Linked DNA regions of Ovis aries. The protein of the gene in region 1 purifies or fractionates together with the protein of each later gene. This does not show direct contact. Links are inferred from orthologs where the notes say so. Each region holds a gene or a part of one and is shown in the gene's direction. Other genes may lie near its edges. The genes, in order: PPP2CB, SLMAP, CTTNBP2NL, PPP2R5D, CCT8, CEP350 and PPFIA1.

What was found.
Region 2: the proteins of PPP2CB (region 1) and SLMAP purify together in Homo sapiens (affinity purification with mass spectrometry; 3 studies listed by BioGRID and IntAct, counting the BioPlex papers as one, with this or other methods). This does not show direct contact. The link is inferred for Ovis aries from reciprocal best matches to the Homo sapiens genes PPP2CB and SLMAP.
Region 3: the proteins of PPP2CB (region 1) and CTTNBP2NL purify together in Homo sapiens (affinity purification with mass spectrometry; 5 studies listed by BioGRID and IntAct, counting the BioPlex papers as one, with this or other methods). This does not show direct contact. The link is inferred for Ovis aries from reciprocal best matches to the Homo sapiens genes PPP2CB and CTTNBP2NL.
Region 4: the proteins of PPP2CB (region 1) and PPP2R5D purify together in Homo sapiens (affinity purification with mass spectrometry; 8 studies listed by BioGRID and IntAct, counting the BioPlex papers as one, with this or other methods). This does not show direct contact. The link is inferred for Ovis aries from reciprocal best matches to the Homo sapiens genes PPP2CB and PPP2R5D.
Region 5: the proteins of PPP2CB (region 1) and CCT8 purify together in Homo sapiens (affinity purification with mass spectrometry; 4 studies listed by BioGRID and IntAct, with this or other methods). This does not show direct contact. The link is inferred for Ovis aries from reciprocal best matches to the Homo sapiens genes PPP2CB and CCT8.
Region 6: the proteins of PPP2CB (region 1) and CEP350 purify together in Homo sapiens (affinity purification with mass spectrometry; 3 studies listed by BioGRID and IntAct, counting the BioPlex papers as one, with this or other methods). This does not show direct contact. The link is inferred for Ovis aries from reciprocal best matches to the Homo sapiens genes PPP2CB and CEP350.
Region 7: the proteins of PPP2CB (region 1) and PPFIA1 purify together in Homo sapiens (affinity purification with mass spectrometry; 4 studies listed by BioGRID and IntAct, counting the BioPlex papers as one, with this or other methods). This does not show direct contact. The link is inferred for Ovis aries from reciprocal best matches to the Homo sapiens genes PPP2CB and PPFIA1.

Annotation. Positions count from the first base shown.
Region 1 is NC_056079.1:26,064,113-26,068,338, reverse strand, and holds the start of PPP2CB (serine/threonine-protein phosphatase 2A catalytic subunit beta isoform), read left to right. Parts: upstream 1-1,426; 5' UTR 1,427-1,776; coding exon 1,777-1,878; intron 1,879-4,226.
Region 2 is NC_056072.1:43,586,993-43,591,204, reverse strand, and holds the start of SLMAP (sarcolemmal membrane-associated protein), read left to right. Parts: upstream 1-1,412; 5' UTR 1,413-1,446; intron 1,447-1,647; 5' UTR 1,648-2,762; coding exon 2,763-2,960; exon of another isoform or gene 2,961-4,212. UniProt on the Homo sapiens protein: Associates with the striatin-interacting phosphatase and kinase (STRIPAK) core complex, forming the extended (SIKE1:SLMAP)STRIPAK complex.
Region 3 is NC_056054.1:89,841,108-89,845,300, forward strand, and holds the start of CTTNBP2NL (CTTNBP2 N-terminal-like protein), read left to right. Parts: upstream 1-1,393; 5' UTR 1,394-1,478; intron 1,479-2,796; exon of another isoform or gene 2,797-2,869; intron 2,870-4,193. UniProt on the Homo sapiens protein: Regulates lamellipodial actin dynamics in a CTTN-dependent manner. Associates with core striatin-interacting phosphatase and kinase (STRIPAK) complex to form CTTNBP2NL-STRIPAK complexes.
Region 4 is NC_056073.1:16,645,433-16,648,521, forward strand, and holds the end of PPP2R5D (serine/threonine-protein phosphatase 2A 56 kDa regulatory subunit delta isoform), read left to right. Parts: coding exon 1-123; intron 124-768; coding exon 769-870; intron 871-963; coding exon 964-1,036; intron 1,037-1,152; coding exon 1,153-1,269; intron 1,270-1,405; coding exon 1,406-1,543; 3' UTR 1,544-2,589; downstream 2,590-3,089. Other genes in the region: MEA1 (male-enhanced antigen 1), read right to left, coding at 2,715-2,866. UniProt on the Homo sapiens protein: The B regulatory subunit might modulate substrate selectivity and catalytic activity, and might also direct the localization of the catalytic enzyme to a particular subcellular compartment.
Region 5 is NC_056054.1:127,699,005-127,703,037, forward strand, and holds the start of CCT8 (T-complex protein 1 subunit theta), read left to right. Parts: upstream 1-1,233; 5' UTR 1,234-1,292; coding exon 1,293-1,352; intron 1,353-3,278; coding exon 3,279-3,369; intron 3,370-4,033. UniProt on the Homo sapiens protein: Component of the chaperonin-containing T-complex (TRiC), a molecular chaperone complex that assists the folding of actin, tubulin and other proteins upon ATP hydrolysis.
Region 6 is NC_056065.1:60,698,403-60,701,902, forward strand, and holds part of CEP350 (centrosome-associated protein 350), read left to right. Parts: intron 1-1,859; coding exon 1,860-3,500. UniProt on the Homo sapiens protein: Plays an essential role in centriole growth by stabilizing a procentriolar seed composed of at least, SASS6 and CPAP. Required for anchoring microtubules to the centrosomes and for the integrity of the microtubule network.
Region 7 is NC_056074.1:43,864,122-43,867,621, forward strand, and holds part of PPFIA1 (liprin-alpha-1), read left to right. Parts: intron 1-1,347; coding exon 1,348-1,483; intron 1,484-3,500. UniProt on the Homo sapiens protein: May regulate the disassembly of focal adhesions. May localize receptor-like tyrosine phosphatases type 2A at specific sites on the plasma membrane, possibly regulating their interaction with the extracellular environment and their association with substrates.

The DNA of each region.
Region 1 (4,226 bases):
CGTACTCTCAGCTTTAAGAGCATTCTCTCACATTAATCTCAAACACATTTGCTTAGGAAGGACCTCCCTCCCTAAACACAATCTGTCCTTCCCATCTCTCCTCAAGGTATATTTTGATTCTCAATCCATCTTCTCCAGGAACTCCAAAAACACTATTCTTACTCTCATTTCATTCTGAGCTTGACAGGTTTAGCTGAAACTCAACCTTTCAACCTTTATAGACGAACCTCCTCGGAGACCGCAAATCTCCTGAATCACGGCAGGTATCCTGTTTGTTCAGTACTGTTTCGCCATCTTTTCACGTTCTGTCCTCAACTGCTTTGCTGCTATTTACAAGGCACTTGAGAACAGGAGCTTTCCAGCCATATTTCCCACCATATGACTGACTTCCGACGCTAGGAGTATTTATAGCTTCCCGAAAAGACCTCAGTCTTTCACACATTTGTCCTCTGCCACCGTCCAAAAAACAAATCGGTGTAATTTCTTTTCCCTTCTCCAGGCAACTTCAACGTTTTGCCCCGGGGAGAAAACCTTTCGGTAGCTGTTGCCTAGTAGGGATAGTAAGGCAAGGAACATGAGTTCCATTCTGTACTATCGGATAAGCTCTTGTAGAATTTAATCTTCACAACTTGAAAAGGCAGGCCTTACCGCACCTTTGCAACAAATGAGGACTCAGAGGCTGGGGGCAATCTGGTCATTGTCCAAGGACACAGCGAGGAGGTTGGCGATGCCAAGAGGGGGCTCTTGCCTTCTGATAAAGGATGCTGCCTGCCGCCACTTGTCTAGTAGAGGAAGTATGGTTGGTGACCACCTGCTCTCCAGGGTATCTGGCAGTTAGCAGTTGCTCGATGAACATTTGCTGAGTGAACAAATCAATAGAGCTCAGTAAACACTGCATAAATGTGGTGAAGAATGCTGGAGCTGGAAGGGACAACTGATTGATAATCACAGAGTAATCGATTCGTGTTTCTGATGCCTAAAGGGAGGATTCGAGATGTCGGTGCCCTACAGCTTGCTTAATGACAAAGCTAAGATATGGAAGAATTTACGTATGTATCTGTTTAATAGGTAATGAACGCCGGCTATGGGACAGTGCTAGACTCTGGGGAGACTATGTGGTCAAGGAGAAGCACAAGCTTCCCAGTTCTCTCTCCATAGCGCTAAAAAAGAAGAAGAAAAAAAAATTCTCAGAGAAAAGGACGTAAAGGGAAAAGCGAGGAGAGACTGGTCTGGACCCGAGTGGAGAAGTACGATACAAAAGGGAAAAGCGAGACAGCGGCGCGCCCGTCGGCCTGTTTCTCCGCCGCGCCACACGGGGCGCTGCAGGCCTTCTCGAGTCCCGGGCCCGGCGGCGCCGCCCGCTCGCCTTTTTTCCCGGCGGAAATGCCCGGGCGATGACGGAAAGCCGGAGGGAGGGGAGAGAAAGAGCGAGAGAGAAGGAGCCAGGGAGGCGAGAGCGGCTGGCGGGCGGCAGGCGGCGGGTGCCCATCCTCCGGCGGCAGCTGCGCGGAAGCCCCGCACGTCCCCGCGGCCTTCACCGACTCTCGGGGCGCGCGGGCCGGCGGGCCGGGGCGGGCGGGGGTCTCCCGGAGGCCGCGCGCTCGGAGCCGCCCGAGGGGCTTGGGCGGGGCGCGGGGTCCGCAGTGCCCGGCTCCTCCCTCCCCCGCCGGGAGCTGGGCGGCGGCGGCGGCGGCGGCGGGGGGCTAGGGGAGCGGCGCCCGGGGCGGGGGCGCGCGGGGGGCGGGAGGAGGCGGCGGCGGAGGGGCGGGGGCCGCCATGGACGACAAGGCGTTCACTAAGGACCTGGACCAGTGGGTCGAGCAGCTGAATGAGTGTAAACAGCTTAACGAGAACCAAGTCCGGACGCTGTGTGAAAAGGTGAGCGAGAAGAGGGGCGAGGTGCGGCCGGGGAGCTTCGGCTGGGTGCGGGGTGGGCGGTGCGGGGACCCCTCGTCTTTCCCCTCCCGGGCCGCCCGCCCGCCTTCATCCCGGCACCGGGTCCAGACGGAGCTGCGTCTCATGCTCGGCTTCAGCCCCTGGGCGGGGCCGGGCCTTTCCAGGACCCCTCTCGGGACACAGCCCTTGGTTAGGCCCGGACCCCCCCCCCCCCCCCGCACCGCCCCGGATCCAGACCTAAGGCGTCTGGGATGGGTGGGCGGGGGCTCCGTGACACCTGGAATTCATCACCCAAGTGTGATTGTGGGGTGACCGGCGCTCTAGTGAGGGTTGCTGACAACCCCAGCATTAACCCGGGCGGACTGGCAATCCCGAAGCTTCAGCCGCCAAGCAGATTAATCTCCTGCAGCCTCGTAATGGAAAGTGCACCGAAATGAGCCTGGGTGTTGTGAATTATCAACGCGCGTGGTAATAATAAACAGAGGCTTTTTCTCAGGTGACTCGGCCCTTCAAACATCGCTAATACTTGGTAACGCGTCAGGCATTTGTTTGTAGAGAGGTGGGTGTGATGGCAGACTGTGATTTTTTAAAATAGAAGTTGACTCTAGTTGAGACAGATGGTGGCTGGTCTTCACGTTGAGAGGCTCTTTGGAAGCAAAAATGTTTGATTTTTCAGAAACAAGACGGCAAGTCTTAAGTTTGGCAACAGTGCTTACCTGAAATGATAAGTGGGGTATGTGTTTCTCCTGAAGGGTAGCACTTTTCAGAAGGTTATTTCTGTTGCTGTTACATGTAAGGTTTTTTTTTCATTTCCAAAAAGTAATAAAATATGCAGGTGGTTTACTGTTTTCAGTCGCTCTTGATTGTGTGATCGTAGACAATCTTCTGAATTCTGTATCCATTTTTTTCTTAATCACTGGAATTATTTTGGACTTTACATTTTTTCTCATTCATCTTTTATAGCCTAGACTATTTTTATGTAAAAAGGTCTCGTGGAGGAGTAACAAAATTATTTATTCTTTAATGCTTTTGAATTGTTATTTATTTTTAAGCCATACTCCCTAAGACTTTCTTGATTTTGTTTGGAAAGCAGGATGCTTCAGAAAGGCATTGAAGGAAAGATTTTATTAATATTATTTATAGAGTACCCTTAAAATTAAATGTCTTAGGAATGGAAGAGTTAATGCTAAGTTTAAAATAGTGTTTTATTTTTTAAATTAAGTGTAACGTTGTTTTGGGTTTTTATGTACTAACAATTTTTTTTTAAAAGTATAATGTTGCATTTAAGTGTTCAACAAACTTGTTCAGCTATAAATACACAATATTCTTTTTCAGGTTCTTTTTCATTATAGGTTATTACGTGACATTGGGTATAGTTCTCTGTGCTATACAGAAGGTTCTTGTTTCTTTTACATAAAGTAGTGTGTATATGTTAATCGCAAACTGCTAATTTATCCCCTCCCCATCCCCTTTTGGTAACCCTTAGTTTGTTTTCTATGTCTGTGAGTCTACTAAATAGCTGTGTATTGATACAGGAGGATGTATTTCTGTAAATAGAACTACCAAAAAGTGGTATATTTGTGTTTCTGAGACAAATTGCTTATGGACTGCTTCAGGTTCTGGCTACATTCAATTTTCTTGTGTGATAACCTGTAATTTCACGTTTTAAGATTGATGTTTTAAATCGCTGTCTCTCTCAGGCTTGACTGTCGGGTGAAATACCCAGTTGTGAAATTAGCTGAGTCAGTTAACCTCTCTGTGACTAGTAGACATAGACTTTAAGTGGTGGGCAAAGTTGGTAGTTGAATCAGTTTTTCCCTCTGACTGTCTGATAATTTTAAGACGTCTTTCGGGAGAAGAATGTTGCACCCCTCCTCGATCACACTTGATCCTTCGTCACCTGAGCAAGCTTTCTGAATTTGTCCAGAGAGATTATTTTGACTTCAGCTCCTAAATAAGTTGAACTGCCAGTCCCTAGTTTCTTTGAGGTATATTTAAGCTTATATCTTACCTACTTTTTTCTCTGAATATTTGTACTTTTCCACCAAACACGAATTTTTAAGTGGCAGTGCTTTGTCATTTATCTTTATCCTCTGCTTTTGCCAGGGATGTGGAGGGCTGGAGCAGAGTGGCGTGCCCCCCGCAGCCCCTACCCTTCTCAGCGGTGCTTAGTGTGGAGCCCCTTGCCAGCAGCTGTGGCAAACCTTTGTGGTGTTGATTTTCTGTCATCTAACCTTACAGCTCCATTTTACTTCCCTACCTCTGCCCTCCTTTTTCCTGCTGAGTGCAGCATTTGTTTATAATGGCCAGCCTGCGTTCAGACCCTGGCT
Region 2 (4,212 bases), on another chromosome or scaffold:
GTATGTACTTTTCAATCATGTATCAAATATTTATTTAGTCACTATTGCGTGCCAGGCATATTGGCCCATTGTTTCAAAGAGACTTATTCTTTTTCTCCCTGGAAACTTATGACGCCGTTCATCAAATACTATATTTATTGTGGTTTTCCTACCAGCCTTCTTGCAGTTCAGTTACCTCCCATAGAAGACCATCTCTGACTCCTTTAGCACCCAGTGCTTGCTTAGCCCTGATTACATCAAAGTGAAGTTATCTCTGTTTGTCACCCTTCTCTCCCCATCCCTATCTCATAGTACTCAGGTGTAATCTCAGAAGAAAAATTTAAGGTTTTATGCACCTACGTGTTTCCAGGTTCAGGACCGAGCTTGGGGCCGGGCCTCAATTCTGTATATACGAATTGAAATGCACTGTCCCTTACTCTTTTATGAGCAAATGGATTACTACCTTGAATTCTCACAACAGGTGAGTTAAGTATTATCTCCATGTAATTGATGACAAAAGGAGGCTTGGTTTAGAAATGTGCCCAAGGTCACACAGTGGTGAAGCCTGTTGTCAAAGGAATCTGAAGAATGAAGTCACCACTGATTCTAAATGAGTATGGCTCTTTTCTTCTATCTTTTTCTTGAAAATTTCGTTTAGATTTAGCGAAGTCTTTCCCTTTTGAGACTAATGACTCCTTATCTACCTTACTATTTTGAGTGCAGGAAATACCTCTGTCTTCATATTCGAAATTGTTCGACCTCTTTCTGGAAGCAACGCGATGTTAACTTTTCTGATATAACACTCATTTCGGGGTAGAATCTGAGTTAGGAGCCCTGGGGGGCAAGACAGGCCCAGTTTACAGTAAGGTCATTTGAAATGGAATGCAGGGACTAAGAAAGTTTTCCTCCGGGCAGGATACCTGGCAAGGGGAGAATGGACCTTAGATGCACAAATCCTAAGGCTTGTGGAATTTAATTGCTCACACCTAGGGCAGCTGTGGGGGACTGTGCTGCCCACAGCTAAGATGGATGCTAATAACATCTCCTTCGGATGAGTTTGTCCTCCTTGCTCGTTGGTATTTTCAACGAGGACTATAGTGAATAAAATGTAGGAAAAGCAGGCGCTTTCTTACCAAGATGGTAAAGTAGGAAGTTGGCAAGTTACGTTTAGAAAACCTTCAACAAGTCAAAAAAATTTTTATTGCCCTTAACCAAAATGGTAGTAAAGGTTGCCCCACGGTTTCGAAGCGTCTAACCCTTAACTAAGATGGCGTGTGGAGGCTTGTTGAAAATTGGCTTGCCCTCTTTTCTGCCCTTGACCAATATGGCTTCAGCGGCTTCGGTCACGTGACGCCGCGACTACGGCGCGGGAGAGGGGGTAGGAGGGCCCTTGAAGGGTGCGCGTTCCCGTGGCGGTGCACCGGGGAGGTTTCAGTCAGAGTCACTATGGCGGCTGGCGCTGGCAAGGTAAGCTGAGGCGGCGGGGCCAAGGGAAGGTGGACCCGTCGCGGCGTCCGGGCTCCCAATCCCCTGAGCCCGTCCGCAGAGAGGTCGGCCGAGGTCGTGGCCAGTCGCGGGGTTTGGCTGGGGTGGGTTGAGAGGGGCGAGGGCTGAAGCGGGCGGGCACCGGCGCCTGACGGCCGTTTGTTTTGATGTTTTCCCCCTCAGGTCGGAAAGTTTCCTGCCTCGTCGGTCACAGCCTGAGCGTGTCTCACCGGCCGCGAGTGGTGGAGGCTGCGGCGGACCCAACCCGGGGCCTCCAGGCCTCTCCCCCAATCTCCGGGCCAGCCTCCCTCCCCCACCTCCTCGTCCGCCCGGAGCTTCGGCTGCTGCCCCTGAGATGCGACCCTCGCGGGGGCGGCCCTGAGAAGAGGCGACCGGTGTGCTGAGCACCAGCCGGGAGCCCAGGCGACCAGGGACCAACTTCCTGCGGCCCAAGACCCCGGAGCCTCCCTCCGGGTCGCGCCTTGCTCGGTTCGCACCCGCCTGCGGAGCCGGATCCCCGCCCTGGTCGCGGGGACGCCCGCCAGGTGCCCGGGAGTCCCGCCTCGGCCGCTGCCCGCGCCCCCGCCGGCCCCAGCTCCTCGTGCCAAGGACCCCAGCCACCGCCGCCTGAGCCCGGGCGGTCCGGGCACCCGGTGCCACCTCCCGGGCGGCCTCCGCGCAGCAGGGGCAATGCAGACTGTCCCGCTGGCCGTCTAGAGCCCTCCGCCGCCTCCTCCATCGCCTTGTCCCACCACTCCCGAGGCCCTCGAGGACGGGCGGTGGCCGCCCAGGGGTGCTCAGCCGCACCTTTCTTCCGCCCGCAAGGACCCTTCTGGCACCGACCCTTCCTTCATGCTGCAGTGCTGCAACATTTCCGCCACCGAGGGGGAAAAGCGGCCACGATCCCAAACAAAACACAAGAATTGGCGTGTGACTCATCTGCTTGGATACCTCCAGCCCCCAAACTGTCTTCCAGGAGTTTTCTGGGCCGAAGCTGTCCGATGTTTGAGCCTTTACTTCCCAGGGAAGAAGATGGACTGAAAGCCGCCAGTTGGGGACTTTTGGGTGATCAAGGCGCTGCTGGGTTTTCAAGGAGGTGATGGGGCTTGCTCTGGCTTGTCTTCCCACCCAAGTGAAGAGTTGTTGATGTTCACTGGTTATGCTTAGACAATGTACAGTTTGCTTTAATTTAAAATTGCGGGGGTGGATAAGGGGGTCTAGGCTTGTGAAGGGCAGCTCGGATCCGGTGGAACTCCTCTTTGTCCCTGGTAGGAGAGACACCCCCAAGTCTGTCCTCGATGCCGTCAGCCTTGGCCATCTTCACTTGCCGCCCGAACTCACACCCGTTTCAGGAGCGTCATGTCTACCTGGACGAGCCCATTAAAATTGGCCGCTCCGTGGCCCGCTGTCGACCAGCGCAGAATAATGCTACCTTTGATTGCAAAGTGCTGTCCAGGAACCATGCTCTCGTCTGGTTTGATCACAAGACGGGAAAGGTAATGTTACTAAGTTGTCTAACAATCGTTGCTTTTCGTTTCCCTTGGCGCTTTCTGCGTAAATGTATGCAGGATCCCAGGGTTTGCACCCAGAGGAGACTTTTCAGCCAGGCGGGGAAACCCAACTTTTTGTGTGCCTGGTTCTAGTGACTGAAATGGAAAACAGAGAAGGAATTGTAATTAAATGCCTCGAGAGGGCGATGGCATCTTGATAACGTGGTCATTCCCAGTGAAATCCTAAACCCTAATGCGTTTTAGAAAGCTAGATAGTGAAACTTGGCTTCTTGCTTTCATTCTTTTCCGAAAGGTGAATTTGCAGTTCAGTGCTTGATGAAGAAAGCAGCACTTCCCAGAGCAATGCAGGGAATCTGTGGCCGGTACTATCCTGGGCTCAAGTGTCTCAGTGATGAGATGTAGTTAACACCATAGCTTTTAACTGAGGACCTTTCTAGCAAAGGGCAGTGTTTGTGTAAATTTACATTTTTAAAAGGTTTGATACGTATTTACCCATGAAGGAGTAATTTGCAGTTATCAAAGCTAATTTAATTAAGCATGAACAACTATAAGTTTATAATTTCAGAGTTTTGTTTGCAAGTTGGGTGAACAGATACCAATTGCTTTTGAAAATCACTGTTGATGTGCCCTTCAGCACTTTTTAAAAACAACTAATGCATACTTAGAAATCATTGTTAAAATTATTTTCTGAAAGTATATCCAGCTCTATCGATTATTGCATTACCTAGATGTTATAGGATGAATTTAGTTCTGATTATGTGTGAGTATTTTAGCATTTTTATGTTGGTACCCTAATTAACTGTACATGTAGATGCTTATGTCTTAATACAAGAAAAAAAAATTGAGTAAAAAGACCCTTTCAATTTTAAAACTATCTTTGTATGTGGAGAATACACTAAAGAGCTCATCTTTGTGCTTAAATCGCAAGTTTTAGTTAAGCTACTGAATCCGTTCCAACTTAGAATTAAGTTATGTAAGACTAATAATATCTCCGGTTTTACCTCCTGACTTTTTGGACCCTCTTGCTGAGTTTAATGATTAGGTCTTTTTTAAAAGAAGAATTTAAATCTTAGAAGAGTTGTGTTTTGAAATGAAGGAAATCTGAGCCTGAAAAGGAAGAGAGAAAGGAATACTCCTGAATCAAGGAATTATTATATAAATTGTTGTTCACAGAAAGGAGGAAAAGATTGCCCAAGTGCTCTGTGCTTGCATAATATCTATATCCTACTCTGTATGT
Region 3 (4,193 bases), on another chromosome or scaffold:
ATGTCCCTGGCCCTTCATCTTGCCTTTCAGAACACAGGGAATGATGTCTTTCTGAAGTTCTGAATTTCCTATTTGTTACTTCAGAAGCATCTGAGCTGCTGTGAAGCCCTTCAGTACAGTCCTCTTGTCCTTCAAATATACATACAGAGGACATTCTCAAGCCAGCAGTCAATAGAGGGAGACATGGAGCCCATTTCTGTTTCTAATGCTAGTTGGAGGTCATCCAGACTCACTCTCTGAACCAGCCCTCCTCCTGAAAGCCAAGTGTATAGAGAGCAGAATATAGCACAGAGTTGGAATCCACATCCTTGTTGGAAGGTCTTTGTTTTCCATTTACTAGTTCTATGGCTTTACTTGATTTCTCTGAATTTCTCTCTTCTCTGTAAAATAGGCACCAATGGTCTATCTTACAGGTTAGGAAAGATATTACATTTGTGTGCGTATGTGTGCATGCCTGCGCAGCTGTGTTCGACTCTTTGAGACCCTATGGACTGTAGCCCACCAGGCTTCTCTGTCCATGAAATTCTCCAGGCAAGAATACTGGCGTGGGTAGCTGTTCCTTTTTGCAGGGGATCTTCCCAACCCAGGGATCAAATTCATGTCTCCTGTGTGAAGATTAAATATCATTATATGAAAATAACTTGCAGGAATGGCAACCTAGACAGCATATTAAAAAGCAGAGACATTACTTTGCCAACAAAAGTCCATCTAGTCAAAGCTATGGTCTTTTCCAGTAGTCATGTATGGATGTGAGAGTTGGACTATAAAGAAACCTGAGCACCAAAGAATTGATGCTTTTGAACTGTGGTGTTGGAGAAGACTCTTGAGAGTCCCTTGGACTGCAAGAAGATCCAACCAGTCCATCCTAAAGGAGATCAGTCCTGAATATTCATTGGAAGGACTGATGCTGAAGCTGAAACTCCAATACTTTGTCTACCTGATGTGAACTACTGACTCATTTGAAAAGACCCTGATGCTGGGAAAGAGTGAAGGCAGGAGAAGGGGACGACAGAAGATGAGATGGTTGGATGTCATCACCAACTCGATGGACATCTGTTTGAGAAGCTCCAGGAGTTGGTGATGGACAGGGATTCCTGGCATGGGGTCGGACACAACTGAGCGACTGAACTGAATGGCATTAATAGGGCTTCCCAGGTGGCTCAGTGGTAAAGAATCCACCTGCCAGTGCAAGAGACAAGGGTTTGATCTTTGAGTGGGGAAGATCCCCTGGAGGAGGAAATGGCAACACAATCCAGCATTCTTGCCAGGAAAATCCCATGGACAAAGGAGCCTGGTGGACTACAATCCATGCAGTTACAAAAGCGTCAGACCTGACTGAGCACTTATGCAACAAAATGGCATTAATACTGGTTTACTTCCTTCGAACTTCCCTATGTTTGCCGACTGACTACATCCCTCCACCTGACTGCAAACTGCGTGTGGACAGAGCTGGATCTGTCTTGAGACAGTCTGCCTAGGTGAGTAGGAGGCCTCACTACTGCTTTGCTTAATAATAATTGTTAATATTAGAAATAATACATTGAAATTAATTCATATTACTTGTGCATTATAAATAATTGTAAGCATGTATTATATTTAAAGCAATGTGATTATTATTCGTTTAACCAGTTGAACTGGAATCCGTGAAAGGGATAAAGAAATCCAGAAACTTTGACCTCAGGAAGGGATGCACCCTCGCCCTTCTCTGGGTTATTTGGTGCTGGAGGGCTTAGTGCGGGGCTTCCCAGGTGGCTCAGCGGTAAAGAATCCACCTGCAATGCAGGAGATGCGGGTTCGATCTCTGGATCAGAAAGATGCCCTGGAGGAGGAAATGGCAACCCACTCCAGTATTCTTGCCTGGAAAAGTCGATGGACAGAAAAGCCTGGCGGACCCATTGCGTCACAAAAGAGTCGGAGGTGACTTAGCGACTAAACAAGGGCTTGCTGCCACCAGATCTGCATTCCTGTGTTCACGAGGGACAGACATTCCTTGCATCCTCTACTGTCCTTTGTCCCAGCAGGGCTGCGGCAGCCTACAGTACAATGGGGCCAAAGACACAAAAATTCTCATTTGGAAAACAGCGTAGAAAACACTGACACACAGAAATTTTATTCATTCGATTTCTACCTGGAAAGGAAGTCGGGTTGGAAAGCTACCCGGCGTCTCCACTCCAGGGGTTCCAGGGGCTCCAGAAGCTACTATTCTCTTCCAAATATAATGTGAAAAGAGGGGTCTCTGGGTTTTTCATCTTTGCTCCCTTCTCTAGCACACGCTTTGTCCCCCTCTCCCCCGCCCCCCGCCAAAAAAAAAAAAAAAAGTGTGTCGGGGGGTAGAACAGGCAAGCCACGTTACCAGGTTTTCAACAGCAGGTTTTCTAAACACCAGAGCGCACTTCATTTATTAACATTTTGGATGAAACGTTAATGTGCCCAGTCAGTCAGGACACCCGAAACCCATTCCTGAGCTTCCCGTACAACGAGGGTACACACGAAGCACTCGCCACCATCTGGTCCCGAAAGCCCATAGAAGGTGGAAAGTTGCAGAATCCGGGCCCGGAGGGGCGCAAGCCCACCCCGAGCCGGGGCAGGAGGACTGAGCTTCCTCCCGGAAGTGACGCGAGCTCAATCCCAGCTTGGCTCTCCCCAAACAAAAGGGATCTTGGGGCCCCGGGAGGAGCCTAAATGACATTGGAGAAGCCCCTCCTCCAGCCGGCGCGGATTGGTTTCGGGGTTGGAGAGGCGAGGAGGCCATTGGCTCTGCCGAATGCCAGTGCCCCCGCCTGGCTGTTGAGGGGCGGGGCCTCGAGGGGCTGTGGATGGAGAGGGTGGCGGAGGCGGCAGGGAGAGGAACCTTGAGCGCCGGGAAAAGGTAGGAGCCGTTGGCGCCGGGGCTTGGCGGCGGCTGGGAGGCCAGGTTCTCGAAAGAAAAACAGGGGTAGAACCGCCGGTGTCCTCCCGCCACCGTACCAGCTGCCACTCGCGCCCATCCCCTGAGGGGGCGGGGCCGTCTCCTCTACCTCCCGGTATTCCCTGAGGAGGCGGCTCCTCATCCTTCGAGGGTGCTTGCAGCTACTTACTGTCCCCCATCAATCCCAGCTTCCCAGAAGGGGCTGGTTTCCTGATACCCCTCATTTAAAAGGTCCCTCACCTAGCCCCTCAACCTTGGGAGAAGGCGTACAGGTTCCCATTCTTTAGACTGCCGCCCCCGCCCCCATTTTGTACCCCTAGGAGGCCAGACATCTCTTCCAACACCTGTCCTTGCTCGCAAGGGAGGGACCAGAGGTAATTTTATCCATAAGATAAAAATCAGTGTTTTCAAAAAGAAGAGAGATGGGACGATGCAAAAATCAAAAGACCCGACCTAGACAGCCAGCTCCACGGACGAATCGGCCTTCCCCAACTTGGGTTCCTCCCATCCCCCATTCTGTATTCCTGAGCCTTCCCCCTGAATCCTCTATTCTCCTATGGAGCTGGGGCGGGGGCGGGGGGCGGTATCGAGAGTTCCTCTGCTTCGAGACTTTTTGACTCTGGAGGAGGAGAAATAGTAACCTTCCCGACCCCGCTTTGTACCTTTACTCTATTACTTGAAAGAGAACCTAACCTCTGAGGATTGTTTTTTTTTAGGTTTGAGTTGCGTTTCGTTTTTGCTTTCTATCCTATTTCTTCCTGAAAATTTGATGAAAAATCGCCTTTTAGTATTTCACAGTGAATTGAGCGTGTTGTATATCTACAGAGTTGTCGTTGTGGGTAGGAATGCAGTGTATATTGTTGGACTGTCCGTAACAGCATGCTTTCAAGTGAAGCAGTACAGATAACTAAATAAAGAGCTTTAGATTAGGAATGAGTGACTTCCAGTCTAGGTGGGCTGGTCTGTTGCTCAGGGAGACTGCAGTTAACCTTGAAGGTGTAGTTCTTTTGAAACAAAAGGGAGGAAGTGTTTGAAGAAAATTCAGGTTCAGTGGTCTAGGTTTATGATTAATCTGGTCAGGTAGCCTTTGGTTACTCTCTAGCCCCTATTTTATGGTGGGCTTTTTCCTCTAGGAGAAACTGATGTGTAATATATATATATGATGTTGACTGGCTTTACAAGACCAGTATCATCTACCAAAATTCAGGGGATAAAAATTAAAAGCACATTTTAAATTTCAGAGATAAGGATTAATAAAAGCAAGGTAAACTCTAGCTATTCAGAC
Region 4 (3,089 bases), on another chromosome or scaffold:
GGAGCGTGCCCTCTATTACTGGAACAATGAATACATCATGAGCCTGATAAGTGACAACGCCGCCCGAGTCCTCCCCATCATGTTCCCTGCACTCTACAGGAACTCCAAGAGCCACTGGAACAAGTAGGGAACTGGGGTGGCGCTGGGCAGTGAGGATCTGGTTTTGGAATATGGGAGGGTGGGGATGGACTCAAGAGCCAATGGTCTCACCTGGTCCCTCAGCAAGCCGGGGCTGGTGCCCACTGTATATTAACAGGGCCTTGAGGGACTGACTGGGGAGAAGATACCCACATGGGAGATCTGTGCCACCCAGCACCAGATTAGTGGCCTTTATCACATCTCTTCTTGAGGTCAGATATTCTGCAGCTTTGGAGAGTTAATTCTATGTTGTGAGAAGCTGATGTGATCATCTTAGAATGTATTAAATCCCAGCGTCGTAAAAAAGCTTTCCTGCTAAAAGCAAGTGTGCTGGGAGGCCATTAGTGCTGGGTGGAAGAATGAGAAGTAATGGGAAAGAGTGGGCTCTTGGAGTGCAGGTTTCAGGCAAGGATGGACAGGCAGACCCATATTTGTAAAGGGCCTGAATGCCAGTCTCAAGTCACATGATCTGTCCAGAGCAATGAGCTTATAGCTGCAGAGGCTGATGGGATGGGAGGAGTCTGCTGGAAAGCTCTCAGCAGAGATGCCTCGTGGGAGAATGAACTGAGGCCCTGGCACAGTAATGGTAGTGCCTTCTCTAATCTACCTCATCTTTCTTCCTGGCCGCAGGACAATCCACGGGCTGATCTACAATGCCCTGAAGCTGTTTATGGAGATGAATCAGAAGCTGTTTGATGACTGTACACAACAGTACAAGGCTGAGAAGCAGAAGTGAGTCTCTCCTTGGGGGATGTTCATCTTCCACACCAGCCCCCGTGCTTCTCTCTCAAGCCCATCCAAATCCTGTCTTTGCTCCCTCTCTAGGGGCAGGTTTCGCATGAAGGAGAGAGAAGAGATGTGGCAAAAGATTGAGGAGCTGGCCCGACTTAATCCCCAGGTGAGCTGGTTCTGCCATCGCTCTGCACCGAGAGGTCCCCGCTGGGGGTGGGGGAGGGACAGGGCCACACACCACCCGGGTGGCTCTGGCCACTTGTCCGCCTCCTTTCCTCCCAGTATCCCATGTTCCGAGCACCTCCCCCTCTGCCTCCCGTGTACTCGATGGAGACCGAGACCCCCACGGCAGAGGACATCCAGCTTCTGAAGAGGACGGTGGAGACAGAGGCCGTGCAGGTAGGAGCGGGGAGCACAAAGACAAGACAGCCCTGGGAGGGAGAGGAGGCCGGAGCTGCAGAGCTGGGGACTAAGGGGAGGAAGATGGTGGGGGGACTCGGTCATCACCCCCTGCCCTCTACACATGCACACACAGATGCTGAAGGACATCAAGAAGGAGAAAGTGCTGCTCCGGCGGAAGTCCGAGCTGCCCCAGGACGTGTACACCATCAAGGCACTGGAGGCGCACAAGCGGGCCGAAGAGTTCCTAACTGCCAGCCAGGAGGCCCTCTGACCTCCTCGCCTCCCGCCGCAGGGCAACGGCCCACTCGGCCCTGGGACACTGCCCCAGCCCTCCACCCTCTGCTCCCCACTGGCTGACTTGGGGCAAGGCAGGGCCTCTCTGCTCTGGGGAGGGGGGGGATGCAGCCCTAGAAGCAGGGGCACCCAGAGAGTGGCCCCTCTTCTCCCCCAGAGGTGTTCATGCCTCCCTGCGCCTAGTTCAGACAGGCTGGGCACGGCGGTGCTCCGCACCCTGACAGTGACGTGGGGATGCCTGGCCCCCTACTGCTCCTCACCCCACAGCTACCTGAGGCTGCTCTGAGAAATACACACAGAAATAACACGCTCCTCTCCCCTTCGGCCCCAGGTGCCCCCTCGTCTCCCTCCCTGCAAGCCTGTAGGGGGCAGCAGGAGACGATTCTCACCAAAGTTCTGTCAAGCCCCACTGGCCCCTGGAGTGAATTAGCCAGAGGGGAGCCAACCCCCAATGGCCCAAATAGGCCCCCAGTCCCAGAGGCGTGCAGGCTGATGGGTCTGCATTATTTCCTCTTACCCCTTGCCTGACCAAGACAACATGGGAGGGCAAAAGGAGAAAAGCATAGGCTCTGGACCACAGCTGATGAATAGAGGGCCCAAAGGGACCGAGAGAAGGGGATGAACAGATGCCCAACCCTATGCCCCCTCTCCGGTGAGCAGCAACCCTGGGATCACTGACATGGAAGGGACCACCCCGGGGCTGACTGCTTTCCTGTGCTGTTGGTCCCCAAAGCCAAGAAGGAAGCAGGGAGCAGTGCTCCAAGCATGGCTCCCCCCAACACCTATTTATTTCCTTGTTTATGTTGATGCTGGGCAGGTCCTCATTTGTCCCTTTCAGGTACCTTGGAGGGGTGAGGGGCTGGGGAGGGCCAGACCCAGGTTCCGAGGGCACAGGCAGTGCAGCTTTTGGCTGTGTACATAGGGTGCTTTATTCTCCACAGAATGATACATGCTAAGGTGGGTTGGGCTTGGGCCGATGTCCCCATATGTACAGAACTGAATAAAGTGGGTCTCTGAGAAGAAGTCTGATTTGCCTTGATGTGGAGGAGGGCTGGGGAGGATGGAGATGGATGTGACAACCAGGGTATGTTCAGTCCTGTGCTGGTTCTGGCCTGGAATGTAGGGAGTTACAGCAGCTCTCAGGGTGGTCACTTCCAGGCAGGGGCGGCCTGCCGGGCTTGGAGGGCCTTCTGTACCACATCTTCCCACTGGGCATCTGATATCTCGCGAGCCCAGGCAGGAACCCCTGGCGCAGGCAGGCTTATGCCAGCCATCGTCCTTTTCACCAGTTCTACATGTTCTGAAATCACAGGCAGAGACCCGTTAGTGGGTTGGAACAATGGGACCAGCTCCCCTCCCCATTCGTTGAATTAACTCTGAGATTCTGGACTAGTAAGGTCACTGAATTTGTCCAGTTATTCCTAAGGAAGCCTGCCCATCCTGCCAGTCTAGAAAGAATAGCATTTCACCTGGATTCTACAGTCTGCAAAATCTTAGATTACAAACTATTCTTTTAGGAGCAG
Region 5 (4,033 bases), on another chromosome or scaffold:
TTGGTTAGAGATGCCTCGCAAAAATATTTTTTCATAATTATGCACTTAAGTGCTAATTAGAAAAAGTTATAGTACATGTAACACATTTGATTATTCCTTAAGACACACTAAATCTGTCCCGATTTAAGGAAAATAAATCATTTGCAAGTGTCTGACCAAGGAACAAAAGACAAGCCAAACGTTCTATTCAGTTGTCTATATTTTCTACTAGGAGAGTGGATTACTTTCACTGTGTGAAATTATTCTTTGAAGTATTCTGCCATTATTCAGTCTTTTGAAATCAGTCATGTGCTGATGTGGGATGACACAGAGGTCAGGTTTTAAAGGACTGTGGGAAAGTAAAAGGGGTTTATATTTCCAAGAAAAAGCAGGAAAGGGATTTTCCAGGTGTTCCAGTGGTTAAGACATCATGCTTCCACTGCAGGGGGGCGGGGTTCCACTCCTGGCGGGGGAAATAAGATCTCACATGCTTGTGGGGCGGCCAAAAAACAGAAGAAAAAAGAAAAGGAGGAAAGAGGAATACAGTTGCCTAACAACGTGCATTTTGCAATCTAATCTGGGTAGAAATCCTAGTTTTAACACTACTAGCGCTGTGATCTTGTACAAACTAAATTGTAAATTGCAAAGTAATTAATAAAAGATTGACCACTAGCTAAGATACCGCACATAAAGCAAATAACGGGGCCTGGCACATATGAGCACTCAGTACGTAGTTTTCCTTTCAGATTTTCATTTATCACCTTCAAGTCCCCAGAGCTGCTACAGGGCCCAAGTCTGAGCGCAAGTTCAACCACAGATTTGGAGGATGAAGGCAGATCCTCGGCCTCGGGAAAAAAGGGGTGCCCACCTGGCTGATATCGTGGGAAGCTCTGGAAGATTTACACGGAAGCTACTCTTGGAAGGAGTTGCAAAACTCAAGGACAAAACTGACAACATTCAAAAGTCCCCAGCACAGAGCCTATGAGTCTAAGCGAAGGGAACGACCTCCGGGAGCGAGCCACATCCGCCAGGCAGCCTACGCGTGCGTCGGCAGGAAGACAGAAGGCCCAGCCCGATCGAGCCACCCCATCGATCGACCAGCTCGAGAATCGTCAACTCAGTTCTGGCGGCGCTAACTGCTCCTTCTCGCGAGGCTTCACAGACTAGGCCGCCGGGGGAAAGGGCGGGACCGGCTGAAGAGAAAGGAGGGGCGTGAGCCGGCCGCACGCTACGTTCCCAGGAAGCTGTGCGCGCCTCTCGTTTCTTCCAGGATCTCCTGAGAGGGCGCGTGAACGGCACCCTGCAGACTGGTCATGGCCCTCCACGTCCCCAAGGCCCCGGGCTTTGCCCAGATGCTCAAGGAGGGAGCGAAGGTAAGAAAAGGAGGAAGAGGGAGTGAGGTGGGAGAGCCGCGGCGGCCGCAGTCAAGAAGAAAAGCCTACCAACGGGCCCGGCGTGCCCACCCGACATAGCGGTCGGAGGGAAAGAAGATTCCAGAAACGGAGGTGTTCTCTGGAGAGCTTGGCCGCGGAGGGCCCCGGGCATTTCGAGTTTTTTTTTTTAAATGAACCCGGGAGAGGGGGGCAAGCGGCCAGAAACGGCGAGTGGACGACGAGGCCGCAGGCGGCGCGTTTTTTGCTTTGTAGCCTTACAGGGTGTGAAGGCCGCTCTTTGCATTTTTCCTCCGTCAGTAAAACGGGAGTGAGGAGGCTCTCCTTTGAGGGGCGCGAAGTAGGTGAAATAACGTAGGTGAGGTTGCTTTGAGTACTGCGAAACGGTTCCAGGAGCGGGTGGTCCAGGGAGGAGAGGGACGAGGCAACTCTTGCAAATGAGAAACGGCGAGCTCCCCATTTAGTTAGCAGAAATAGTGCATTATAGGATAAATCTTAGTTACAATCCCAATGGGCTCTGTTCTGAACTTAGCCAGCTTGAGGTAAAACTTAATCCTCTGGGTCTTACTTTCCTCATCTTTCAGTTGGGGAGATTGGACGGAAATAGTTGTAACCAACAGAGTAAGTGACACCCTGAGCTAAGTAAAGCTTTTGTTTTATGGCGAGATCTTGAAAGTAATTTCAACAGCATGGTTTTTTGTTTGTTTTTTTAATGTCTTAGACACACTGCTGTAAGTGTGTCTCTTAGGTTCAAATAGTTGCGTTCCCTTATTGTCACCCAGACTTGCTGTGCTTAAACGAATGTAGATACTGTGGTTCCATTTGTGGTAACAGTTTGAGGGAACTAGGTTTCTTGTTGGCGAGGATGCACTTTGGGGATAACGTGACTCTAGTAGGTAAGGAGGTTTACTGTAAGTATTGGTGAAAGAGCTTTGCTGAAAATGACATGAACTAATTTTTTTTTAAAAGGGAAGTGGCCGTATTTTTTTTATTCTGAGGCAGAAATAAGTGACCAAATAAGCAGAAGGATAATTTCAAATAATGATAAAGGAAATTGAAAGTGCGCCTCTAAAAAAAAATTATAAAGGAAAGTTTGGGGTAGAACAGTAAATAAAATGTTAAGGAAAGAACTCAGCTCTGTGCTTAGTGGCCAAGATTAAAGGCAGAAATGTTTCAGGCTAAGGGACCAAACTCACTGAGGATGAAGTGAGTTTGACTTGTTAAAACAGTAAGAAAAAAGATGTTCACATGAACAGTAGGCTCTTGAAATTTATCTGAGACTCACAAGTAAATCCCATGTCTAAAAGAAGTTCATTGTAAAACTTGAAAATTTGAGTACTGTGAGCAGTTCAGTTTTCAGTGTATACACGTTGGAATTAATGTGTACAAACGAACAGTTTGTTTCAGTTCAAATGAGAATTCAAAATCTGTATGCTTTAGTTCTAAAAATGTATAAGGCAAATATGTTAATTCCCTTTGAACATAGACCTGTTGACTCTACAGTGCTCAGGTTTTATCACATTCATACCACATTTCGGCTTTTAGAAAGAATTGGTAGACTCTGGAAAGGTATTTTTATAATCTGCAATGGTTCATATGCTTTCTCTAATCAGGCTTAGCACTCTTCTCTGCACTTTTCACTAAACTAAAAAAAATTAAGCTTTATGTTTTGATGTGTAAGTAGGTACTCATGGTCCCTAAAAATGTCATGCCTTATTCATTCAACTTGTGGACAAATCTGTGAATTAGGATGGTATCTGGTATCATAGGAACACCAAACACCATGCTTTACATACATAAATCTCATTTGATAATGTCAACAGTCTTTTGAGACAGGTACTATTATTTTACAGATGAAGAAATTATTGAGATTCATTGTCCTGCCTAATCAGAAATTTTCTTCTACAGCATTTTTCAGGATTAGAAGAGGCTGTGTACAGGAACATACAGGCTTGCAAAGAGCTGGCCCAAACAACTCGTACAGCATATGGACCAAATGGTAATTTCTAAATTCATGTTTAAAAAAAAATACAGTACTATAATATAATTTTGTGTAGTAGTTCTTTGAAACTTGTTTGAGGATATTATATGTAAATTGAGAATTTTAGCCATAATACACTGTAGTGTTGAAAATCATTTCACAGTTCAGTAACTCCTGTACAGTTTTCCTAATCTTTAATCAGCAGTTTGGATCTTTTTAGAAAAGTTGTAATCAAAATGTTACTTTTTGTCCTATTGAGAGGATAGAAAAGTTATGGTGCTTTCACCTTTGAGGTAGTACCATTGTTACAGCTGTGGAATAGTTCTCTTAAGTAAAATGACATAATTTAAGGGAGAAAAATTCTCTCTTGCTTCCCATCAACTGAATTAATTGATACAAATTTATGGAATAAGCAAAACACACTTTCAAGTAAATAATTTTAGTCTTTGTACATGTCAATATAATTTAAGTTGATTGAAAAAATATGAAATTGGCAGGAAAGAAATAATAGGTGTGCAGGCAGGGGAAGCCATTGAGCTGTGGCTTTAAGAATAGGTAGTATGTTTTGAGTTCTTACAAAGTTATTTCAAGGAATGGATAGCAAATTTTTGTTTCTTCACTGGATTTTCTTTGGTGTCTGGAGAGGGGTTTGAGTGATGATGCATTTCTTTTTCTGACTATT
Region 6 (3,500 bases), on another chromosome or scaffold:
TTTTTTTCATTCAAGAGGTTAGTTGAAGTCCCTGGGGAAATTCATTCTTTTAGAGGCATATATACTAGTACATTTGTCCCTCCTTTATAGCTTTTCTATTTGAAGAACATAGGTAATATGCTTCATCCAGTTCTGTGTTTGCATGATTTGAGAATCAGCTTCTCCATAAACTTTGATTCATTTTTCTTAATTTTCTAACTTAAGACAACACTTAAAAAATTATACCAAACTTCAGATTTTTCAATTCAGTGCAGTTGCTCAGTCATGTCCGACTCTTTGGAACCCCATGAATCACAGCATGCCAGGCCTCCCTGTCCATCACCAACTCCCGGAGTTAACCCAAACTCATGGCCATCGAGTTGGTGATGCCATCCAGACATCTCATCCTCTGTCGTCTCCTTCTCCTCCTGCCCCCAATCCCTCCCAGCATCAGGGTCTTTTCCAATGAGTCAACTCTTCGCATGAGGTGGCCAAAGTACTGGAGCTTCAGCTTCAGCATCAGTCCTTCCAAAGAAATCCCAGGGTTGATCTCCTTCAGAATGGACTGGTTGGATCTCCTTGCAGTCCAAGAGACTCTCAAGAGTCTTCTCCAACACCACAGTTCAAAAGCATCAATTCTTCAGTGCTCAGCCTTCTTCACAGTCCAACTCTCACATCCATACATGACCACTGGAAAAACCATAGCCTTGACTAGACAGACCTTTATTGGCAAAGAAATGTCTCTGCTTTTGAATATGCCATCTAGGTTGGTCATAACTTTTCTTCCAAGGAGTAAGCGCCTTTTAATTTCATGGCTGCAGTCACCACCTGCAGTGATTTTGGAGCCCAAAAAAATAAAGTCTGACACTGTTTCCACTGTTTCCCCATCTATTTGCCATGAAGTGATGGGACCAGATGCCATGGTCTTCGTTTTCTGAACGTTGAGCTTTAAGCCAACTTTTTCACTCTCCTCTTTCACTTTCATCAAGAGGCCTTTTAGTTCCTCTTCACTTTCTGCCATAAGGGTGGTATCATCTGCATATGTAAGGTTATTGATATTTCTCCCGGCAATCTTGATTCCAGCTTGTGCTCTTCCAGCCCAGCGTTTCTCATGATGTACTCTGCATAGAAGTTAAATAAGCAGGGTGACAATATACAGCCTTGATGTACTCCTTTTCCTTTTTGGAACCAGTCTGTTGTTCCATGTCCAGTTCTAACTGTTGCTTCCTGACCTGCATATAGGTTTCTCAAGAGGCAGGTCAGGTGGTCTAGTATTCCCATCTCTTTCAGAATTTTCCACAGTTTATTGTGATCCACATAGTCAAAGGCTTTGGCATAGTCAGTAAAGCAGAAAGAGATGTTTTTCTGGACTTCTCTTGCCTTTTTGATGATCCAGCGGATGTTGGCAATTTGATCTCTGGTTCCTCTGCCTTTGGTAAAACCAGCTTGAACATCTGGAAGTTCACGGTCTAATGTATTGCTGAAGCCTGGCTTGGAGAATTTTGAGCATTACTTTACTAGCATGTGAGATGAGTGCAATTGTGTGGTAGTTTGAGCATTCTTTGGCATTGCCTTTCTTTGGAATTGGAATGAAAACTGACCTTTTCCAGTCCTGTGGCCACTGCTGAGTTTTCCAAATTTGCTGGCATATTGAGTGCAGCTCTTTAAGTTATTTTTAAATGTTCTATTTATTTTTAGTATAGTGTATATTCATAAAATAAAAATTTACTACATATGGTAACCTATAAAGCAGGTCATTTTTACTGACCAGAGCTTTTTCTCATCAATATTTGGTTTTTATTTAAACTTTGGTTTCAGAAATTGAAAGGTGTGATTAGACAATTTTGATGTGATTTTTTTTTTCTTCTTCCCCTTTTAAGATGCTGCATTGACAGGTTCTGAAAGATCAGTATCAGAAAAATCTTCATCTGCCTACGCAAAGAGAATGACTGAATTGGATGGTCGGACAGAAGAGCACTTTCAGACTTCTCCGATTCTGAGATCATCAAGGAGGACAAGAGCTGAATCTGGAGATTCTCTAGAAAATGTCCCTTCATTATCTCTTCTTAAAGAATTAAACGCATCTTATAGAATTCTGGATGTATCAGGTGCCAAGGCTGAAGAAGAGTCTAGTCAAAAATCAGAAATACAAGAAGTAGACTATGCAAAATTGGAGGAGAGTGCAATTGAAGATGCCTATTCCAAACAGTCTAGGAAGGCTGATGTCTTCCTGAAGCTAGACCTGGAACAGGGAGATTCATCTGAAATTCTTTCAAGAAAAGATCTTCCTTTAGATTCTATAAATGTTCAGAAAGACTTAGTTAGATTAGCCATTGAAAATCTTCATAAAACAGAAACAAAAGAGGGACAGTCAAATGAAGATATCAGTCATAGTCCAAACATCCAATCAGAAAAAGAGACTCATGTACAAAAGAATATAAAGAGCAGGGACTCATCTTGGTCACAGCATGTACTTGCATCTAAAGAGATGTCGTACTCTGAAGATTTTGATGTATCGTCTTTCAAGAAAGACATTTCAGCTGAATTGTACAAAGATAACTTTGAGGTGGCATCTTTGTTGTCACTCAGGAAAGACTCTCAGTCTTGCAGAGAGAAGTTACAGGCAACAAGCATCTCTAGAAGCAGAGCCACTAGCTTTGGTAGTGATGATGAAATCAGCGAGTGCCTCAGTGAGAAAAGCCTTTCTATTCATAGCAGTGTCCACTCTGAAAGGCTGTTAGAACTCAAGTCCCCCACTGAGCTTATGAAAAATAAGGAGCGCAGTGATGTAGAGCATGAACGAGGAGTTACTGAATCCCCTTCCTTGGCTTCAGCTTCTCTTGCAGATGAATTACTTGATTTCCACATTGGTGATAGGGTATTGATTGGCAATGTTCAGCCAGGAACTCTTCGATTCAAAGGTGTGACTAGTTTTGCCAAAGGGTTTTGGGCTGGAGTGGAGTTGGATAAACCTGAAGGAAATAACAATGGAACATATGATGGCATTGTATACTTTGTGTGCAAAGAGAAGCATGGGATTTTTGCTCCTCCTCAAAAAATATCTCACATTCCAGAAAACTTTGATGACTATGTAGACATAAATGAAGACGAAGACTCTTATTCCGATGAGCAATATCAATATTATAATCAAGAACAAAAAGATACAGAGGGTCCCAAGTCTGACAGAGAAAAGGATACAATTGAATATTTTTATGAGAAATCTCTACCCAGTATGCATGACACAGAAGCCTCAGTTGATAGAAGCCTTAAAGTAGAGACCGACAATATACAGGACATTTCTGGGGTACTCGAAGCCCATATTCACCAGCAGAATTCAGTGGACTTACTGATGTCTTCAGAGAAAAACAAAGACCTTGTTTCTGATGCCACAGAAAAGGTTTCTTCTGTTGTAGAAGACGATACTTTAGATAATACCTTTTCTGAAGAATTAAAGAGGCAACAACAGTTGACTGAAAAGGAAGAGAACTTATATCCCGAAGTTTCAGAAAAGCTTCCTACCC
Region 7 (3,500 bases), on another chromosome or scaffold:
ACGGATGGGGGACATGGCCAGCCTTGCCCGCAGAGCTCCTCCAGGGTGAGGGCCTGGTGTTGTCAGAGGGGGAGACCCCCTGCTCCCGGGGTGGATGAGATGCGTGTGAGGAGGGCTGTTTGGACAGTGGAGGAAGAGGAGGTGGACACAGCCTCTTGCTCTGCAGACTGGGCAACGAGGAGGGTGCTGGTGCTGGGACCCGAAGGCCTGGCGCAGTTGGGGGTTCAGAGGGAGAAGCCTGGTCACCAGTCCCCTGCATGTCAGTGAGAGAGAAGAGGAGGCAGCCGGGGAGTAGTAGGGGCCGCTGTGCTCTGAAGACGGGGACCGCAGCGGCTGGGCAAGGGAGGGGTGTCTCCAGGAGGCAGCTTTCCAGGGGTCAGTGACTCGGCGGCACAGGTGGGGCCTCAGGGCTGGCTTCCGGGCAGGGTAGGCTGGCCCAGGCCGGGGGAGTGGGGACTGAAGCCTGGATCAGAGGCAGGGTGGGCTCAGTGTATTTGGCAGGACCTCCCAGTGGAATTGGTCACCTTGTCTCTGAGACCTTCTCCCGGAGGAAAGAGCCTCAGGTGAGGAGGGGGAGAGCGATGGAGGCTGCACTCTGGGAGGGGACTGGGAGGTGATGGTGGGGGGCGTCTCAACCCAGAGGCCTCTGTGGCCTTCAGAGGACCCGCGAGTGTCCACAGTCCCAAGCAGGACTCTGTCGTAGCTTCCACCTGACTCCCAAGTGTGCTGCGGTGGAAGTTGAGCAGAGAAAGGAGCGGTTCCATCAGGAGGGAGGGGAGATGGGAGGGAAGACAGGTGTGGCTCGGGGAGGTTCCAGACTTGCATCTCCTGGGAAACACCGTGCGGCTCAGGTCCGAGCTGTGGGTCCGAGGGCTTTGTGCCGTGGGCGGTCGAGGTGCCGTCAGAAGTGCTGAGAGCGGTGCAGACAGTGTTCCAGGGAGACGGGTGTTTGTGGTCCATGGACGTCACACGGGAGGTGGAGGGCAGAGCAGGCACCGGCCAGAGGGGGTGTGGGTGCCCAGGAGCTGGCAGAGCAGGTGCAGCCCCGCCCCGGGACCTGAGGGTGGGCTCTGGGGGACCGCAGCCCCGAGCACCGGGCAGCCAGCCGCACCCTCGCCTTAGCGCTGCCTTCCCTACATACGGGAGCTGCCCAGCTGGTGGCGCTGAGACCTGAGTGTTCGCAGGGCAGCAGGTGGGCCTGCTGCTGTTGGAGCCAGGAGGGCAGAGCCCGCCCCACGGCCCCTTTTCTGTGAAATTGCCAATTTTCCAGATCGACAGGCTCTGGCTTGACTGACAGAGTGAGCTCTCTTTTCTCCTAACAGCATCCTTCTTTCCCGTGTGTTCCAGCCGACCGCACCTGGGCAGCGTCCCGGACTTCAGGTTCCCTGTGGCCGACGGGCCGGCAGACTCCTTCAGCGGCGCGGCGGTGCTGCGGCGCCCCCAGAAAGGCCGGCTGGCAGCGCTGCGCGACGAGCCGTCCAAGGCAAGGACCCCCCCACCCCACCCCTGCCACCCCGTGCCTATCCCTGGTGGGCACCTTGTGAGGCCCCCGCCCCCGACACTGTGGTCCTGACACGGTTTTGGAACCAAGTGTTGATAGATCGCTTTACGTCTTCGAATTTTCCTTTTTCTGGCTAAGAGTTTACAAGGCATGTTTTTTTTTTTTTTTTTTTTTTTAAAGAACCAATTTTGATAACGTGTGGCTTCCTGTGAGGCCCGGCACAGTACTAATTAGCACAGTTTTGAAACCGTCCTACGAGTGAATGGATCCACACGTGCCTCATGTTTTAGTGAGAAGATTCTCGTTGGAAGGTTAAGCGCCTTCGTATTTTCGCCTCATTCATGGCGTGTGTTTTTTCGTATGTCTCTGTGTTTTGAGCGCCCACGTTCAGCGGGAAGCTAGTTTAGACCAGACGTCGTCGGAACGAGGACTCCAGCAGTGACTTAAAAACCGTGCGTGTTCTTTATCCACTGCTGCGTAACGAACCACTGCAGAGCTCGGTAACCTCGCAGTGAGCAGGCCACAGCCCACAGCTCCTGTCCCTCTCCCAGGCGGGCCTGACTCAGGGCCTCCTGAGGGCGCAGATTAGGGAAGGCTCCCCGGGGCTGGATGGTAGGCTTTCAGACTCAGCTGGCTGCTGGGGACAGGCCCAGGTCCCTGCTGTGCAGATCTCTGTGTGGCCTGGCTTTCCTCGGAACGCCCTCTGAGAGTGAGAGCGTAGGGTGTAGCCCGGGGTCTTTCATGCCCTGGTTCGGAAGCCGCACACCTTCACTTCTGTTTTCGAGCATGAGCTGTGAAGTCCTGCCTCGCTCGGGCTGAGCAGGAGTTGCCCCTTCTGCCTCTTGAAGGGAGGAGGATGGAAGGATTTGTGGACCCCTTTTTAAACCCGCACAGCCTGTCAGACAGCAATGAGCAGGGAAAGGAGACCAGAGTGCCCGAGTTGTCCGAGGAGGAGGGGACGATCGTGTGTGAACAGGGGTGGCCAACGAGGTGACACCAGGAGGGTGACCTTGAACCAGAGACCTGGAGGCGGGAAGAGAAGCCGCCACTCGGAGATAGATCAAGGGTCGAGTCAACCGGCAGGGACAAGGGAGAGAGCGGCCTGGATCAGGGAGGACCCAGGCTCAGGCCTGAGCAGCTCGAGGCCAGAGCCTGTTTGCTACGGTGAGGAGGGCTGCCAGGCAGGAGCTCAGAGCCGGGCCTCTGCCCTGTGGAGGTGGACAGGCCTGTCCAGGGGACGAGTCTGGTCAGCAGCTGAGTGTTCCAGCCTGCATCCGGGAGAGGACTCAACTCAGCTCAAGGTGGACTGGGGTTGCGGGCATGCAGATGGTGTTTAAAGGCATGAGCAAGATAAAGTCGCCAGGCAGGTGCCTGTGGAGAGAGATGAGGTGCAAGGGTAGAGCCGGGGGCCACCCCACGTTCCGAGGTTGAGAAGGGCACAAGGGACTGAGGACGAGCCCCAGGGAGGGTGGGGCCTGGAGCTGAGGGAGAGACACGCTGGGCGGGTGGGGAGGGGGTTTGGTAACACGGGGTCCTTGGAGCCCCCGGGAGCTGCCCTGTGGGGTGGGCCCCCCGCCTGCTTGCAGAGACTGGGCAGGGAGAGGGACAGTAGAGGCCGCTCCCGGGGAGCTCTCAGAGACCCGCGGTGGGCGCTGCAGGCAGCCCTGGAGGAGCAATCTGCTGGTTCCCGTGGTGCGATTTTAAGCAGGAAGAGGGAGAGGACGTGCTGCCCGGGCTGACGGGGGTGAACCTGTAGGCAGAGAAGGGTGTGAGCTGTGGGAGGGGGCGGGCGGCATGGGGCCCAGCGGGCACTCTCTGTGCGTCCCTGATTACAGAGCTGCCTTGCGATGCGAGAGGCTGTCCCCCAGGACAGCCCGAGTGCCTGCGCCCCGGGAGGAGAGTGCGGGGGGCTCGCCCTCCCGTCCCCTGGCTGCCCGTGCTCGCTCCTGTCTGTGGGTGCTCAGACCAGCCTGCAAACGGAGGGCTGGGAACCCGCGAG